3 linked regions of the Drosophila melanogaster genome follow. The protein of the gene in region 3 interacts with the protein of the main gene of each other region in a pairwise test. Each region holds a gene or a part of one and is shown on either strand. Other genes may lie near its edges.

Region 1 (4,526 bases), on a different chromosome or scaffold from region 3:
ATGAGCTACTTAACCGACTTCCACTTCCGACAGGCACTGCAATACTATCCACTGTGGAATGTGTGGCTGTGGTGAATCATATAATTATGAGATGCCTTCAACTGGGTCGAGGACCCCAGCCGACCACAAATGCCCGAAGTGAAGGTGAGCTTAGGCCACTATAAGCCACGGCAGGAGTTATCGCTTTAATTCAGATGCTGCTGGTCAAGAGCAATATTTAAGATTGGCATTTTAAGGCCTAAATTTAAAAATAACGTGTCGCTCAATGTTTAGATGCCTTTTCAGGGTGGATTTCTAGCATTCGATAAAAGGAAACTATTCAGTAAACACTTTTTCAAGACCACCAACATTATATTTAATTCATTTTAAGTTGCAGGTTAATGCAATGGGCCATAAGATCTTTGTCCTCTTTTGATGGAAATAACCAACCTAAGAACTCCACTAAAATTGGCTGCTGTTCCACGACAGTAGAATAGTCCTCGTAGGAAATGACTCCGTCCTTGTCCAGATCAAACTTCTTCATTAGGAACTCGGTCATATCCTAAACAATCAGACAGATAGTTAATTAGTAATATCCATTAAACTGTTTTAATTACTACTACGATTAAAGAGTAATTATGTTTACTTACCGCCTTAAGTTCATTAAGTTCATCTTCGTCTTCGCCGTAAAAAAATTTTTCACAAGCCGTGCCAACTTGCTCGCGATCAATAACGCCAGTGCCTTTGGTATCATAGACCTATGGGAAAACGTATTTTCGATACAAATTTACTTAAGGATAGCAGGACTGACCTCGAAAGCAAATCGCATTCGCACTTGAATGTCATTGGTTGTGTAGAGATCGAAGAGGTGGATCCAGGCCCTGGGACTGACATATTTCGTATCTTTTGTGATCGCGAGCAGAGTGCGTTCGATCACCTGGACACTGGCCACGTTGAAGAGCACCAAGAAGATCTGATAGAACTGCTTCTTGGTCATCTGCTTGCACTGCGGTCCGTTGGCCTTTGAGAACTTGTAATAAACGACGAGCAAACAGGTGATGTCCGTCTGGGACAACTCCGAAGTTAGGGTTAACTCCTTGATCAAACTCCCGTAGAGCGCTGCAAACCGACTGTTCTCCATGCTATCTATGGTGGCGTCTAGGTTTTCCATAACTAAATTCTTTTTAATGTTTTTTATTTCCTTGTAAAGTTTTTTTTGTTATTTTTTTCCTTATTTTGAAACTTTTTTTTTGTGTGTGTTTTCTTTTTCTAATTTTTTTTTTTTTTTGTGATTTTTGTGTTATGTTCGGGTTGGCAGATGGATTTTGAATAACAATGTTTAAAAACTATTTCGTATAAGTTCAAAGGCTCCTGCGTCGCATTTTTTCGTTTTTGGCTATCGGAATTATATAAGTATCCAAAACGGCTCATAGCGCCGTTACCCATACAGTATTCTTTAAAGTGTGCATATCCACTTGATCAGAGCCCCGTGCAGAATGTGAACAGAGATTTTGGAGAGCTTATGATGCATACGCAGTGTCTGCTAGTTCACATAAAGAGTCGCCCACTCTATCGCCTTATATAAACCAAGTTAACACAAGAACCAATCGCAAGTCCTTTTAAGACAGCTCACGCGAAACATTTTGCTTTATTTTCAAAGTGTTGGTGGAAATTTGATATATCATGCTTATAAAAATGATTAATTTGAAATCATACAAAAATTTTGATCAACTACTTTGGCGGCATCCTTTTGGTCCTCATTCATTGTCGTTTGTCGTTCGATTATTATCACAGTGGGATAATCAAGCTTAATCAAACGACAAGCCTATTTTGCGTCCGGATTACAATAATTGAGCATGGAGTCCATGTTGATAACATGGGCCATAAGATCCCTTTCTTCGTTCGATGGAAATAGCCAGCCCAAGAACTCAACCAAAACGGGTTGTTGTGAAACAACCGAGGAGTAGTCCTCAAACGAAATGACTCCATCCTTGTCTACATCAAACTTCTTCATAATAAATTCAGTCATGTCCTGTGAGGAGTAAATTTATTAAATTATTCTAAATTGATAAGCAAGCTTACCGCTCTGAGCTCAATTAGTTCATCTTCGTCGTCGCCTTCGTGGAAGAATTTCTCGCATGCCACGCCCACCTGCTCGCGATCGATAACTCCGGTGTTCTTGGTGTCATAAACCTAATAAAGAACCCTATTAGAGCCTTCTAGAAATGCTTAACAATCCATTACCCACTTCAAAGGCAAACTTCATACGGCGCTCCAGATCCTCTGTGGTGTACAGCTCAAAGAGATCAACCCAGGCACGGGGACTCACGTACTTGGTATCCTTGGTGATGGCCAGAAGGGAGCGTTCAATCACCTGAACATTGGCCACGTTGAAGAGCACCAAGTAGATCTGGTAGAACTGATTCTTCTTCATCTGTTTGGCGCCAGGTCCGTTGAACCTGACGAACTTGTAGTAAACGCAAAGCAAACAGGTGATGTCCAAGGTGGACATCTTCGAGGTTGCAGCGATCTCCTTAATCAATCCACCGTACAGGGCCGAGAACTTGCTGTTCTCGGTGCTATCGACAGTGGAGTCTAGGTTTTCCATGGTTCAGGGAAGCTCACGGTGATTTACTCTTTACTTTGATTTACTACTGGATATATGATATTGTTTGATTATCGATTAAGGAGTTACAATGATTTAATGGATATGTCTAGTGCAGCTGGCATATGTTTCCTTCGCCTGCTTTTCTGGATTTCAAAAATACAAAATATATGGTTGCCCTCTTTAAGCGTTTTATGAGAATTAAAATGTTTCCAATTTCGCTTCCGCGCCATTTGTCTTGCTTAACAAATTTATGCCGTAAGTCTCTTCCAAACACCGTACGTAAAATATATCAATCAAAAGTCCATACCAAAATCCAGCCCAACTTGCCTGTAAATCCGCCAACACTTGGCGATGTCAACTGTGGAGACATTAAGGAGCGTGAATCCTTGCCGCCCTCTCTCCTTCATCATCCACTCTTATTTTATTGTTATTATGCCGTGTCGAGCTGCTCAGCCGCCTCCTCATTTTTTTTGGTATTTCGGTGGGCGTGGCACGTGTGAGTGTGTGCTTGCGTGAGTGTGTTTCGAAGGGGGCATACAATTATACAACAAAGGGAAGGAGATTCCGAACATTTGTTACCCCAAACAAAATGGCTACACAGCCATTTCCGACGAATTTCCACATGGAAGGCTTTACACCCATCTCAGCGCTTTTGTTTGGATTATTATATTCGCGTTTCTCATGCGCACAGCTTTCAGCTTTTTTCTCAGCCTTTGTGTGTTTCATCAGGCGGGTTTGTTTCAAATATTTATTCGAAATGGGGGACAGATGTAGTCCATGTAGCGTGGCTGATGTATTTTTTATGTCGCGGCGTTGTTTTATCGCTTTTAAATTGCGCCAGTTACATTCCCGGCGAATCCTTAGGCTGCGGCTGCGACTTACCCAATCTATTTGCAATTTGTCTTGCATAACCCTCACCCTTTTAAGCAGGCCAGAGCCTCATAAGTTAGGCATTTTCATCACACACCCGAAACACACGCCCCATTACACAGTACTCTCTTAAAAAACATTTTAAATAATAATTACTTGTTTACCATTGCCATTAAAAAACACAATGAACCGCATCGACCTTACCCTGGACGACATGGCCAACAACAAGTTCCTCACCATGTACAGTACTTTGATCAAGAGCTTCGCTGCCTCCACGGAGTTTTCCACCAACGAAGTGGTCAGCTTGCTGATCGTGTTTTACAAGTACGCCCTGAACAACAGGTCCCGCATGATGTCCACCAGCCAGCTGTACAATCTATTCCTCGTCAGCTTTGGGATCTTCGACGTGACCATCATCGACCGGATTTCGATGAATATCACGCAGGATGGCCGATCAGTCTCTCCAGAAGCCTGGATGCGGCTGTTCTGTGTGTTCTTCAACGGAAGTCTGCAGGAGCGAATGAAGTTCGCATTTGAGGTGGTTGCTCCGAAATCGTGGCTACTCCTTTATTAAATTTCCCCATGGACTACAGGTTTATACAAGCGGTGGTGCTGTGGTTCTGAATCGCGAGGTGGTCGGCGTGGCCATTGAACAATTCTTCACTGGCGATGACGACGACGAGGTCAACGAATTGCGAGCGGTGAGTGTACTGACATTATTGACAATTATGCTTGCATTTCAGCACCGTTTCCGAGCAGGACATGTGCGAGTTCATATTCGGAAAATTCGACACTGACAAGGATGGGGTGATAGCGTTTGAAGAGTACGCCGAAATTGTACAGAATCAGCCTGGATTGCTCGAGTTTTTGGGTAAAATATTCCCGGATGACAAGGACAGATCACTGGTGGCGTACTGCCACAACATTGAGTCTATGTTTCCGCCAGAAGGTTTATATTAAAAGAAAGAAAGGAGGCTGTTCCTTGTGGAAAATTCTTCGTATTTTGCATAATTGTATACATTCTCAGCCTGCTAAGGAAAGCTTTCATAAAATAGCGCAAGTGTTGAAA
Region 2 (5,132 bases), on a different chromosome or scaffold from region 3:
CTGAGTGAACACCCAGAGCACGGCTTGCATCCGCACTCCCATCGCCAGAGCTGCCAGCGCTGCGGTAAGAATAAGACAAACATTCGTCGACATGTTGAGAAAATGCGACGCCATCTGGAGAACTCGCAAATGTCCGAGGAGGACATCAAACGGGAGCTCCAGGAGTTTCTCACGTACCTGGAGCAGCGAACCAAGTCGGTGGATGCCTCCGATGCGGACAGCCACGCGGTGTCGCCACTCAGCGTGGATGCTATCAGTGTGGCTGCTGGTGGAAGATCACCGGACATGCCCATCACGCCAACAATTGAGTTCTCGCCAACGCAGGACGAAGATATCCGCTGGGACGATGACGAGGGCATCCATGTATACGCCGCTCCATCGGACTTCGAACCGACAGCCGGCATTGACTCACGATTTGTCAATTTGGAAGACTTTGAGGATTTGTAAATGCTCTATTCTCTAGAATGTTCATGATCGATTAATGCCTCTCTATTGATTTATAGAAAAGACTTGGAGGGTTTGACAGTGAAGCAGTTGAAGGAGGTGCTGATGCTGCACCGCGTCGACTACAAAGGATGTTGCGAGAAGCAGGAGCTTCTCGACCGCGTCAGCAGACTGTGGAAAACCATGCGCGAGTGTCCAGGTGAGCTTTGGACTTTGCACTACAATTTCACCCTCATAACGATTCAACCATTTACGCAGCTGTTGAAAAACTCGCCACTGATGAGCTGTGCAAGATCTGCATGGATGCGCCGATTGAGTGCGTTTTTCTAGAGTGCGGACACATGGCCACCTGCACGAGCTGTGGAAAAGTGTTGAACGAGTGCCCAATTTGCCGACAATATATTGTACGAGTTGTAAGATTTTTTAGAGCGTAATGATACGGCTAATCTTACGGTAACTGGACATAGTGTAATGATGGAAGCCGATAGCCGCCACAAGCTACATACAGATACAGATCCAGCCCAGCTGTACAAGTTGTACAGCAGATCCTGATGATGCGACTACAACGTATATGTTTCCTTAAATGACGCGAGTGCAACAATAATATTAATTTGATTATTTGGTTCTTCTCTGTAGTATGTTGCCAGTATATATATATGCCTATATATAGTGTAAAACCTGATATCGCTTTTAAAGTGTATTCATCTATTTCAAATGTGAAATACTTTTGCTATTTATTTTGTTTGTTCTTGTTGTTTGTATAAAAACGAGAGGTTATCTAGATCAACTAACATTCCTATAAACCGCAAAAAAAAACATTAAATCTGTTATTAACAGTTGTGTGAAAAACTCGTCTAGATGCGCATTTAAACAATAAATATTTTCCAATATCTAGCGCTCTATTAGCCCAGCCATTCGAAATGGGGATTTTCCTCCAAACAAAGGTTGTCTGGATCATAAATTCTAATCGAAGTCGATTAAGATTGGTCACTAGTTTTGTGACGAATCGCCTGTAACTGGGGATTTTCCCATACCTTGAGCTTATGGTTTTTCGAAATCTTTGAAATACTCTTTTTGCCCAGAACCACTATGAAGGAACCTAGATCAGATCAATCCCGAAGATACTCCCATGCCACCATGCCAAACTAGAGCAGTTCAATTACAACAGTCTTTAATCACGTTAAATAGTAATCTAGGTGTGGTGACAAGAGCTGGGAAACAGCGCAATGACTAGAAGGGGAAGAGAGACGAGAGGCGAACCGATTGGCCAGTTCAGATTCGATGGATGCGCAGGTCGAGCGGTGACTCCACGTCCATCTTAACGAAGAAGTCCTCGCTGTGGAGATAGCTATGCTGTCTATCGCCTAGCCAATAGCTGGGCGAGAATTCCGCATCCTGTTTGGGTTTTAGCGAGTAATCGCTGGGCTCATTGTTGGAGTCATCGTAGTAGCGGGCGGATGAGGAGGAGCTGGTGGACTCCACACTGCTGGCAGCGGGAAGACACGTGAACGCTGATTCGCTGCTGGCCTCCAGGAGACAGGGTACGCTGGGCAGAGTGAGCGGCTGGCTGGCGATCAGGTGGATGCTGTGCTTGAAGGTCTTGACGTGCTTTCGCAGCGAGGACGGATCCGTGTAGCGCTTCTGGCAGCCGGCCACTTTGCACATGTACGGCTTCTCCATCGAATGGGTGCGCGTGTGCTTGAAACGATCCGAGGAGTTCGAGTACGCCTTCTGGCAGCCCTCGAAGCTGCACTTGTAGGGTTTCTCGCCCGAGTGTGACCTAATGTGGATCTTCAGGTTCTCCGCCCGCGAGAAGGACTTCTCGCACAGGTGACAGCGATGTGGCTTCTCCTTCGTGTGGGTGCGGGTATGGACAAGCATCTTGTAGCGGGCATTGAATCCTCGCTCGCTGCGCTGACATCCCCGCCAGCGGCAATAGTAGAGTCCGTCTGTCAGGCTGGCGATCGCATGTCGCTGGGTCACGTGCTGTGCCAGTGCATCCAAGGTGTCGAAAACTCTGCAAGGATCAAAGGGATATAAGTGGTTAGTACGAAAATAACATGTACTGGATTGATTTCTTATCCAATATTAATACACTTGCTGACCATAAACAATACACTGCATCTCTATCAATTTGACCCAAAATCACATTATTATCGCTATTGGAGGGTTTATCAAAAAGTCGAGTCCAACAGTTCAGCAAATGCCAGGCTGCCTCCGGGGTTTTTTTTTTATTTCTTTCGAATGCGTAATCAGTTTCAATGGTAAAACGCGGGGGAACTGTGTTTTATATTTTTCTAGAACTACTCAATGTCTTTCTCTGGCAACTCAAAATTCAAAAGAAAATATAATGCTGAGTTTTTTTTTCGTTTTTAAAAAACATTACGAAAGTGCTGAGACCCCTTTAGGAAATTTCTTTGAAATTTTCACAATAATTCTGTAATGCAGTTGACACTTACCTATCGCAATCTGTCCAGTTGCATACGAAATCGCTGGCGGTGCCGCACTCGCTGCTGCTGCTGCAGGACTTGCTGTCGTCGGGGAACTCCACTGGACTGCGGCAGAGCTCGTCCTGCTGGCCACGAGCCTTCATGATCACGGACTGGGTGCGCTGACGATATCCGTATCCGGCGATGGGACGCGGCGGTGTGATGGGCGGCGTGGGAAACCTGATGTGCTGCATCTGCTGCTGGTGCTGCTGGTGCTGCTGCTGGTGGTGTTGGTGGTGATCCGCCAACCAGCTGCCGGAATCCGAGTAGGCGGCTATGTACGGTGGTGTGTTATACGGCGTAAAGTAGCCGAGAGGCGGCTCGTAGATGCCTCTGCTGTGTGGGCCGCTGTTGAAGATTGACTTTTGTATTATATCCATGTTTGTTGTCTGTGGTGGGTGCTGATCGAGAAAATTTGTTGCTTTCGCTAAAGCGCCTGCCGATCGAATGAGCCGCTCGCCTGCAGAGGTTCGGGTAATATGCGAAACTTGGACGGCGATAAGGGGTCGCCCAGACGGACAGGGTATGCTTATCAGTTTCGAAGGCTGCAGACGGGTCCGGCGGGGGCGTGGCAGGGGCAGGGGGAGCAGACGGCGGCAGACGGAACCAAAACAGTGGAGCGCCGAGGAGCAGGTGCGTAGCGGTGGAGCGGTGGAAAAAAATCCGCTGGGGCAAATGGATCTGGGGCAAAAGCACACACTACGTGAGTGAAACTCTGTGCTGGATGGACTGCGACGCAGATGGGTGACTGGGGGGCGACCAGGGTACGGTCTGGGCCCGCTTATCAACGCACAAGTGGAGAGCCAGCTAGTCAGCCAGCCAGCCAGTCCACATATGTACACAGGCACATGTGTGTGCCCGATGATCGCTCTTTGGGGGGCAAGTCTTATCGCCCGGTGCCGTCTGCCTGCCTGCCTGCCTGACTTGCACTTCGTACCGCGTAGCGAATTCCCTGCCGCACCCCACCCTGCGTACCGATCCGAGTCCCACTCCCGATCCGAATCGCACCCCTTCATTGGAACAGGTACGTCAACTCTTGGAGCCGTACTAGTGCACTCAGAGAAAAGCGAATGGACTAATACGTCTGAAGACGCATCTAGATCTTTTGCCTGAGAATGGCTAGTTCTAGAATCTACAAAGAGGCCACTATAAGATCGCCTTGCATAATTTCCATAAATAGATTTATTAATAAAACAATTAATTGTTTTCCTGACCTAACTATATATTCGAGCTTGTGACTAAAAAGTAAATAGTTATAGTTTTGAGACAAAGAATCAAAAGTTTAAGCAGACAATTTGAATCGTTATGTGATTCCTATACTCTGAAGGGAAATGGATAAAAACTTTCGTGGAAGCCACTTAATTTCAATTCTGTAATATATTTCTCAATTTCTCAATATGTTTTATTATTACAAAGTTAAAATTAGACTTTAAGCTTAATAGCTGTTTATAAAGTTAAAGCTTAGAAGCTTCCTTGAATTCCGAACTTTATAATGGATATAAAACCCCAACTGATGTGTTGCATAAGGAAATCACGCTAATTTTATTAAATTTGATTTGAGTACACTGAAAACAAAAGTGATATTTTCTAGCTTGAGCTTTGTGAAACCCCACACACATTCTCATTTATAATTTTATCACTTTATCAGAAATACTAAACTTCCCCCACATGTGTTTGATATGCAAGCGTACGATCCCAAAACCCAGAAATTCATTCTTGGGTTCGCCCGCCGGTTTCACCTCAGTGTGTGGGCGCTGCGTCTGGGACGGCGATAAGGTGGTGGTGGTTGGTTATCTCACGCCAAGTCAACAAACGCCGCCACATGCCGCCATGGTACCATATCTTTTGGCCCGAAAACTTGGTGCGCCATGACGCGAATGGTTCGGCGGGACGCGGAGTTGCGCTCTGCTGGGTGGTGGCTATGGCAATCAGCTATCAGCCAGCCATAAAGCTATCGTCGTTATCAGCGCGGCGGAGGCGCTGTCTGGTCCCGTGAATCACTGGGGGAGCAACCTTCGCTCTACCCCGGCGCTGCAGAGCACCAGCGCCAATCGACCAATCCCCACAACGTAATCCGTCCCTGTGCACGGGCCAACGAGTGGGGTCCCTGGCTTACGTAAAGAGACAACCTGACATCAGGGACTTTGATAAGCCCTTGCCCTCTATCAGCAGTGCGACAGGTGGAGGCGAACGTGGTTG
Region 3 (5,998 bases):
TATTATTGATTGCCTAGGCAAGTTTAGTTCGTAGGTATACACTTAATTGATAATACTTATTTTTTTTTTTCATAATTGTATACACACACACACACACACACACACCTATGCTTAGAGTTGTTAACTAATTTAAAAACAAAAAAGGAGAAAACCCCAACAAAAAAAAAAAAAAGAACAAACTAAAGAAAATCGAAACAAAATCAATTCAAGAAATCCAACCGCAAGGGAACGTCTCAGTCCAAATTGTCGGTACACGAATTCTTATTTTATTTGATTAACCAAAAGAAAATGTTATTAAAAATGTAGTCCGATCCCCATTCCCAAATCATCATCCTACGGACCGCTATGAGCAAATTCAATGAAATCTTATTGTTTTTCGATTTTAATTCGGCACATCACCCATGCACCTGTAATTTATACACACGCAAAAGGAACACCCACACACGCACACACACACACCCACACCTACACCTACACCCAAACACGCCGGCAGACACTGGGAAGAAATCCAGCACGATCCGCAGAATCAGAACCACAAACCAATAATATGGATACAAATGTAGTTAATAAGTCACAACAACCACGACATTTTTGTATATGCCAATGACGCGCCTAAACAAAAAAAAAAATGAAAACAAAAAAAAAAGAATGAAAAGTAATCCGAAATTGCTTTCTAATGACCAGAAGCCTTCGCAAGTAGGTGCCAGGATGCAGGATGCTATCCCCCAAATTGCAGTGACAATTCAGTAAATTAATGATACATGTTTGGAGTCTCTGCCGTCTTCCACCATGTGTATTCTTCGTCTACATCTTCACCCCCACCATCTGCATGCATCCAATCCTCCTTGTCAATGTGTCCTTGTATATAGATCCATGGGTCCTTCCAGATCATCTTTCCATCGGGGACTCTGATCCTGAAATAGCAGTAGGATTTATGATAGCAACTATCTGTGTCGAATCTAACCAAATCTGTAACTGTATCATGCACCTTTTTTTTTATGTATATTTGGGGTTCTGATTTCTATTTATTCTGTGCGTGAGCCTGTGTGTGCCCTGCAGTTGCATTCACCGATCCATTTTCATCGATGAATCACCGCTCAATTTGTTTTCAAAGAGCGATGAATTGTGGAACTGCAGGGTGTGGTTGAGATTAGGGATGCGTGTTTGTCTTTGTATATAGAGGCGGTCAATAGGTTCGTGTCTTTCCCCGGCTTACACTCGCAGCAAATTTCGTTTTGTTTGTGTAAATTAGTTTTTTTTTTTCGAAAGCGAGTAAAGAACAGAAAAAAAGATCACAAAACAACCCTTATTCTATATAAAGAACATATATATATATATATACAAAAATATATATATTTAAATACGAAAAATGTTGTATCTAGTAATACATATACAAAAATGAGAAACATTTTTTTTCTATACTTAATTTTAGCATTTAATTGAGAATAATTCGCACGAGGAGATAAACGTGAAATGTATGAAAATAAAAATTGGGAAAACCAAACGATTCAAACAAAAGAAGTTTTTAATTCAGTCAATATATATATATAAACAGGAACATATATATAGTAAAACCTCTATATATAGCGACATCCCTATATTTGCATATATGAATATAACACCAACATATATATATATATATATATATATTTTAACATCACCCGACGACAGAACAAGACGCATTTGATTTTGTCCAATCTGATCGAATCGCCCAAGTTCTAGCAGATGCATTTGGCATACTAGCATATAATTGTTGACCTTTTGTTGTTACCTAACGAGGGCATTAACTAGAAGACGATGATGATGATAAGGCGTAGTATAGCAAGATAGAAAGATAGAAAGATAGCCTGATAGCAGGATGGCTGGATAGCTGGATAGGATGGGTCAAGTGGAGTCGAGTCGAGGAGTATGTACCATATAGCAAAAAAAAAAAAAAAAAAAAAAAAACTCACTAAAGAATCACTTTTCTGAAACGTAAAAGCAAACGATCTTAGCCTTAAGCGCCTACCGCTAAACAGAATAACTTTAAAGCAACGTTACGTGTGGCACGTAATGCAGGAACTAATAATACTATTATTAATAATAATAATATTAACTATTACGATTATGAAGCAGAAAATCAAGGGGGAAACTAGTTTTCGCTGGCAGAAAGGGTGGATATAGAAACCATTACATTAACATACATGACATCATTTTGGCCCCTTTAGCATTCTCTAGATATACAAATACAAGAATTCTTAGTAAGCCTATTATTAATGGAGGAGAGCGTGTAAGCAGAAAATGCGAAGGAAACCAATTAACAAGTAAAACGTAAAACATAAAACATATTTTACCTTTAATGCGTACACTTAGTATTAATGAAATGGCCGACAAAAGCAAAAAACTATAAGAAATGAGACAAAAAATAAATAAAAAGGAAAAAAACAAAAAACTAAAGAAAACAGAGAAAATTTGCAAAAAAAAAAAAAAATAATAAAAAAAATAAACAAAAATTCATAAAAAAAAAAACAAACAATAGTGTGTTCTTATTTCATCGAAATTGTAATCGAATCGTTATCAATAGTGCCTTTTTCTATATTTATATATATTTTTACATATGCACAGTAATCAATGGATTGATTATTATTGTTTATTATTGTTTATTATTATTTTGTTTATCTCGAACCTCAGCTGAAATAATCGCAAAAGGGTCGCAACCTGCCAGCAATCACAAATCGTGCGATAAGAAGGTTATCTGCAGCATCAGCACCTTTCTGGGGGCTATAAAAAAGTGATCGCCACCGAATGGGGCGATCAGTTTGACTTTTGAATTCGTCGCGATGTTTTCGATTAACGCCGTGATCCTGGGCATTTTGGTTACTTCCGTTATGGCCCAGGATGCAAGGGGAACGTGTGAACTGAGCATCGGTTCTCCGGCTCCGGTTGTTATTAGCAATTTTGGCTCCCAGCGTTTATTGTTCGATTCCGTGCGAAAATTAGAACGGGAAAATTACCAGACCATTGACCTTTTCTGCGCGAGCGGATTTTCCATAGACTATTACAAGTACTGTTTGATTATCTTCTACTCGCATTTGCTGATGATTTGCTTTCAGCTATTACAACAACCAGATCTCGACTACAATCAAAGCGACTAAACTTACAATGACCTGCGACCCTATTCATCGGTTTACCTATAAAGATGGCATAAAAGATGTAATTAGTGTTCGGTGTCTGGAGGTCGGCCCTCAGTTGTTTGAGAGCATGAACAAATTGCCAAATTGCACGGGCATGACTCTAGTTGTCGGAAGAAAATTCGATGGCATTGGTTTAATAAAATATTCAGCATTGTGCTATGATTTGGCCGCATTTCAATTGAAATATATTGGTTATACCACAAATTTCAATAATATCCAGATTTTCCCAGAGGTGGGTTGTGTTAACTTTTTGAGCAATATTATATATTGTTATATATTCACGTATTTTGTTTTTTTTTTTTTTTTGTTCCATATACATACATGTGTAGACCCAATTGGGACAACTTAACGATATCGGACTTGATACTCCTATCAGTTACCAAAAAAATCTATTCGAGACCATCAGGTAGGTGCAATAAGGAGGTTGCGCTATTCCTGTGATTAGAGGAGTGGCTCTTTGATTAAAATCATAATTAACATAATATCAATTCGAGCAGCAAGAGTGAACTTGATGCGTACTTGGCAAAGGAGAAGCAGTTGTTCACGGAGGACACTTTTCAGGTTGGCAGTTTGGTCCAGGATGAGATGGTTAGTAGACACTTGGTTGTCTACGAGGACTTGCTGACCACCGTCTGGTTGGAGGTTCTGCGTTCCGGCAACTGGAAGCATTGGACGAAGGCAATGCGTGATGCCATCGGTGTCCACTTCGACATTCGTTTGGGTGTTTCCGGAACCGTGAAGCTGCCGACGTTCGCCGGGCAATCATGCAACGGAAGCCGATCGCTCAACATTGAACTGATTGGTGGCAAATTCCTGCCCATTCCCGCCCACATTTGGGCCCATGTTCACGCTGTGGAAAAGTCCGGTACCGGACAGGATGAGTTCGTCATCATTGGACACAACTCGCCCTTCGTGCGTAAATGCCATTGAATGTGTTATGCTCAGAAATATTCAATCCTTTCGATCTTGCAGTATCGCAGTGACTTAAGCAATCTGTGCCCCTCGATGTGCAACCAAGTGTCCTGGCTGAGGAACACCCTCTTCTCCAGACTCCACGAGTTTCCCGCCTTTGGAATGGTGCAGTGCTGCCGTGTGGAGGATGTGGCCCACAAACTGGACAATTTTCCCGGTCCCTTTGAGAATGAAAATATGAATGTCAGCAGGACAACCGAGGCTACCACAATATAAACAGTTCCCTTTATATTATCCCTCTGTTCCAACAAATATGGGACTCTTTGTGTACATGCAATTTGTATAAAGCGCCTTTTAATGCATTAAAATGCATTTAATGCAATAATACTTGTCTATATAATCAGCCCGTATTGCTTTGTATCCGTATACGATCCTTAATTCCAGTAATAAAGTCACAATTTGCGCATATTTGAATCTTTAAATATTATGTCAGTCTTCGACTAGCTCTTGTCGAACGCGGATGTAAAATCTTCTATTCTCTCTGAGAACATTTTGGTGTACATTAAATATTTTCTGTTTTCTTCTTTAATTGTGATATTCGCAAAAAACTACAATCAAACGTTCAAGTGATGCAATTGGCGATGCTGAAGCATCTGCCGTTGAAAAAATGCGTACTAAAAGGAATAAACCACTAGTGGAGCGCCAGAACGAACGGGGCTCCAAGCAATTTACAAATTATTTTCGTCCACTACAAACTTTAGACGATGATAATGATGATAAACCTATTGAAACGGACACACTTGATGAAATAATAATCAAACCACCTCCTATAACATTAATTAAACAAAATACAAAATTTGTACACGAGCTAATGGCTAAAATTAAAACTGATGATTACTTTATTAAAACCATCTCAATTGGAATTAAAATATTTTTACCAAATATGGACTGTTTCAATGCAGCTTGTAACCAACTCAAGGAACATAACTGTGAGTTCTACACGTACGATACTAGATCAAACAAGCCATACAAAGCCATTTTATCCGGGCTGGATAAACTACCAATTGAAACTGTCAAATCCATGCTACAAAACCTAGGATTACAATGCACCGAAGTCAAAATTGTGGAAAAGAAAACTAAGTCTGATCATGAATTATTACTGTACATTGTTTATTTCGTAAACAAAAGTATCACAGTAAAGGAACTGCGCAAAAACTTTATGTATGTCAACCACACTAAAGTACGCTGGGAGTATAAAGTGAAATTGCAGAATAAAATTACTCAATGCTACAATTGCCAACTATTTGGACATGGATCAAATAATTGTTCAGTTAAAACATCATGTGCCCATTGTGCTGGATCACACCAGACTGCCGTATGTATGGACGTAAACAACAAAAAATGCGCTAACTGTAAAGGCGACCATCCATCGACAGAACTGACATGCCCATGCCGAATTTCTTATCTCAATTTACTTTCCAAACGCTCATCACAACGCATTGGAAGAAATAACTTGGAAGCTCATGGAATGAGGAATTCTAAGCAACACATCGCTCCATCTGCTCTCTTTGGAAATCAACCCCAGATCTCATTGCCTACTCAAACTAAGAGAGTGCAACAACTCAACTTTGGTAGCTATAGTAATGCACTCACCAATATTCATACTTTGCCTAATCCCAAAGCAAATATCACAAATGAAACTAATCTCTTTTCATGTGAAGAGATAAATTCTCTTTTGTCTGAATTAATAACAAGACTTAATGAATGCTCCAATAAGGGAGAGCAATTTCAAGTAATTTCTCAGTTAGCGATTAAGTATGTTTACACAAACAAATAATTTTATTGATAATTTGAATATTATGGCATGGAATGCTCGTGCCGTTAGAAACAAACGTATAGAACTGATCAAGTTC

What was found. The genes of interacting proteins can lie anywhere in the genome.
Region 1: the proteins of CG2233 (region 3) and CG15177 interact in a two-hybrid assay, tested with the Drosophila melanogaster proteins (one large-scale study listed by BioGRID).
Region 2: the proteins of CG2233 (region 3) and sug interact in a two-hybrid assay, tested with the Drosophila melanogaster proteins (one large-scale study listed by BioGRID).

Annotation. Positions count from the first base shown.
Region 1 is NT_033777.3:6,626,604-6,631,129, forward strand, and holds CG15177 (uncharacterized protein), read right to left. Parts: upstream 2,719-4,526; 5' UTR 2,588-2,718; coding exon 2,228-2,587; intron 2,173-2,227; coding exon 2,062-2,172; intron 2,012-2,061; coding exon 1,805-2,011; 3' UTR 1,601-1,804; downstream 1-1,600. Other genes in the region: sowi (solwind), read right to left, coding at 356-541, 630-737, 791-1,150; sunz (sungrazer), read left to right, coding at 3,642-3,995, 4,051-4,158, 4,217-4,417.
Region 2 is NT_033778.4:12,927,113-12,932,244, reverse strand, and holds sug (sugarbabe), read right to left. Parts: upstream 3,386-5,132; 5' UTR 3,314-3,385; coding exon 2,904-3,313; intron 2,462-2,903; coding exon 1,717-2,461; 3' UTR 1,601-1,716; downstream 1-1,600. Other genes in the region: CG17019 (uncharacterized protein), read left to right, coding at 1-443, 504-643, 703-878. UniProt on the Drosophila melanogaster protein: Transcription factor which represses a set of lipase genes involved in fat catabolism.
Region 3 is NC_004354.4:8,034,307-8,040,304, reverse strand, and holds CG2233 (uncharacterized protein), read left to right. Parts: upstream 1-2,787; 5' UTR 2,788-2,819; coding exon 2,820-3,043; intron 3,044-3,092; coding exon 3,093-3,405; intron 3,406-3,502; coding exon 3,503-3,579; intron 3,580-3,670; coding exon 3,671-4,085; intron 4,086-4,145; coding exon 4,146-4,361; 3' UTR 4,362-4,564; downstream 4,565-5,998.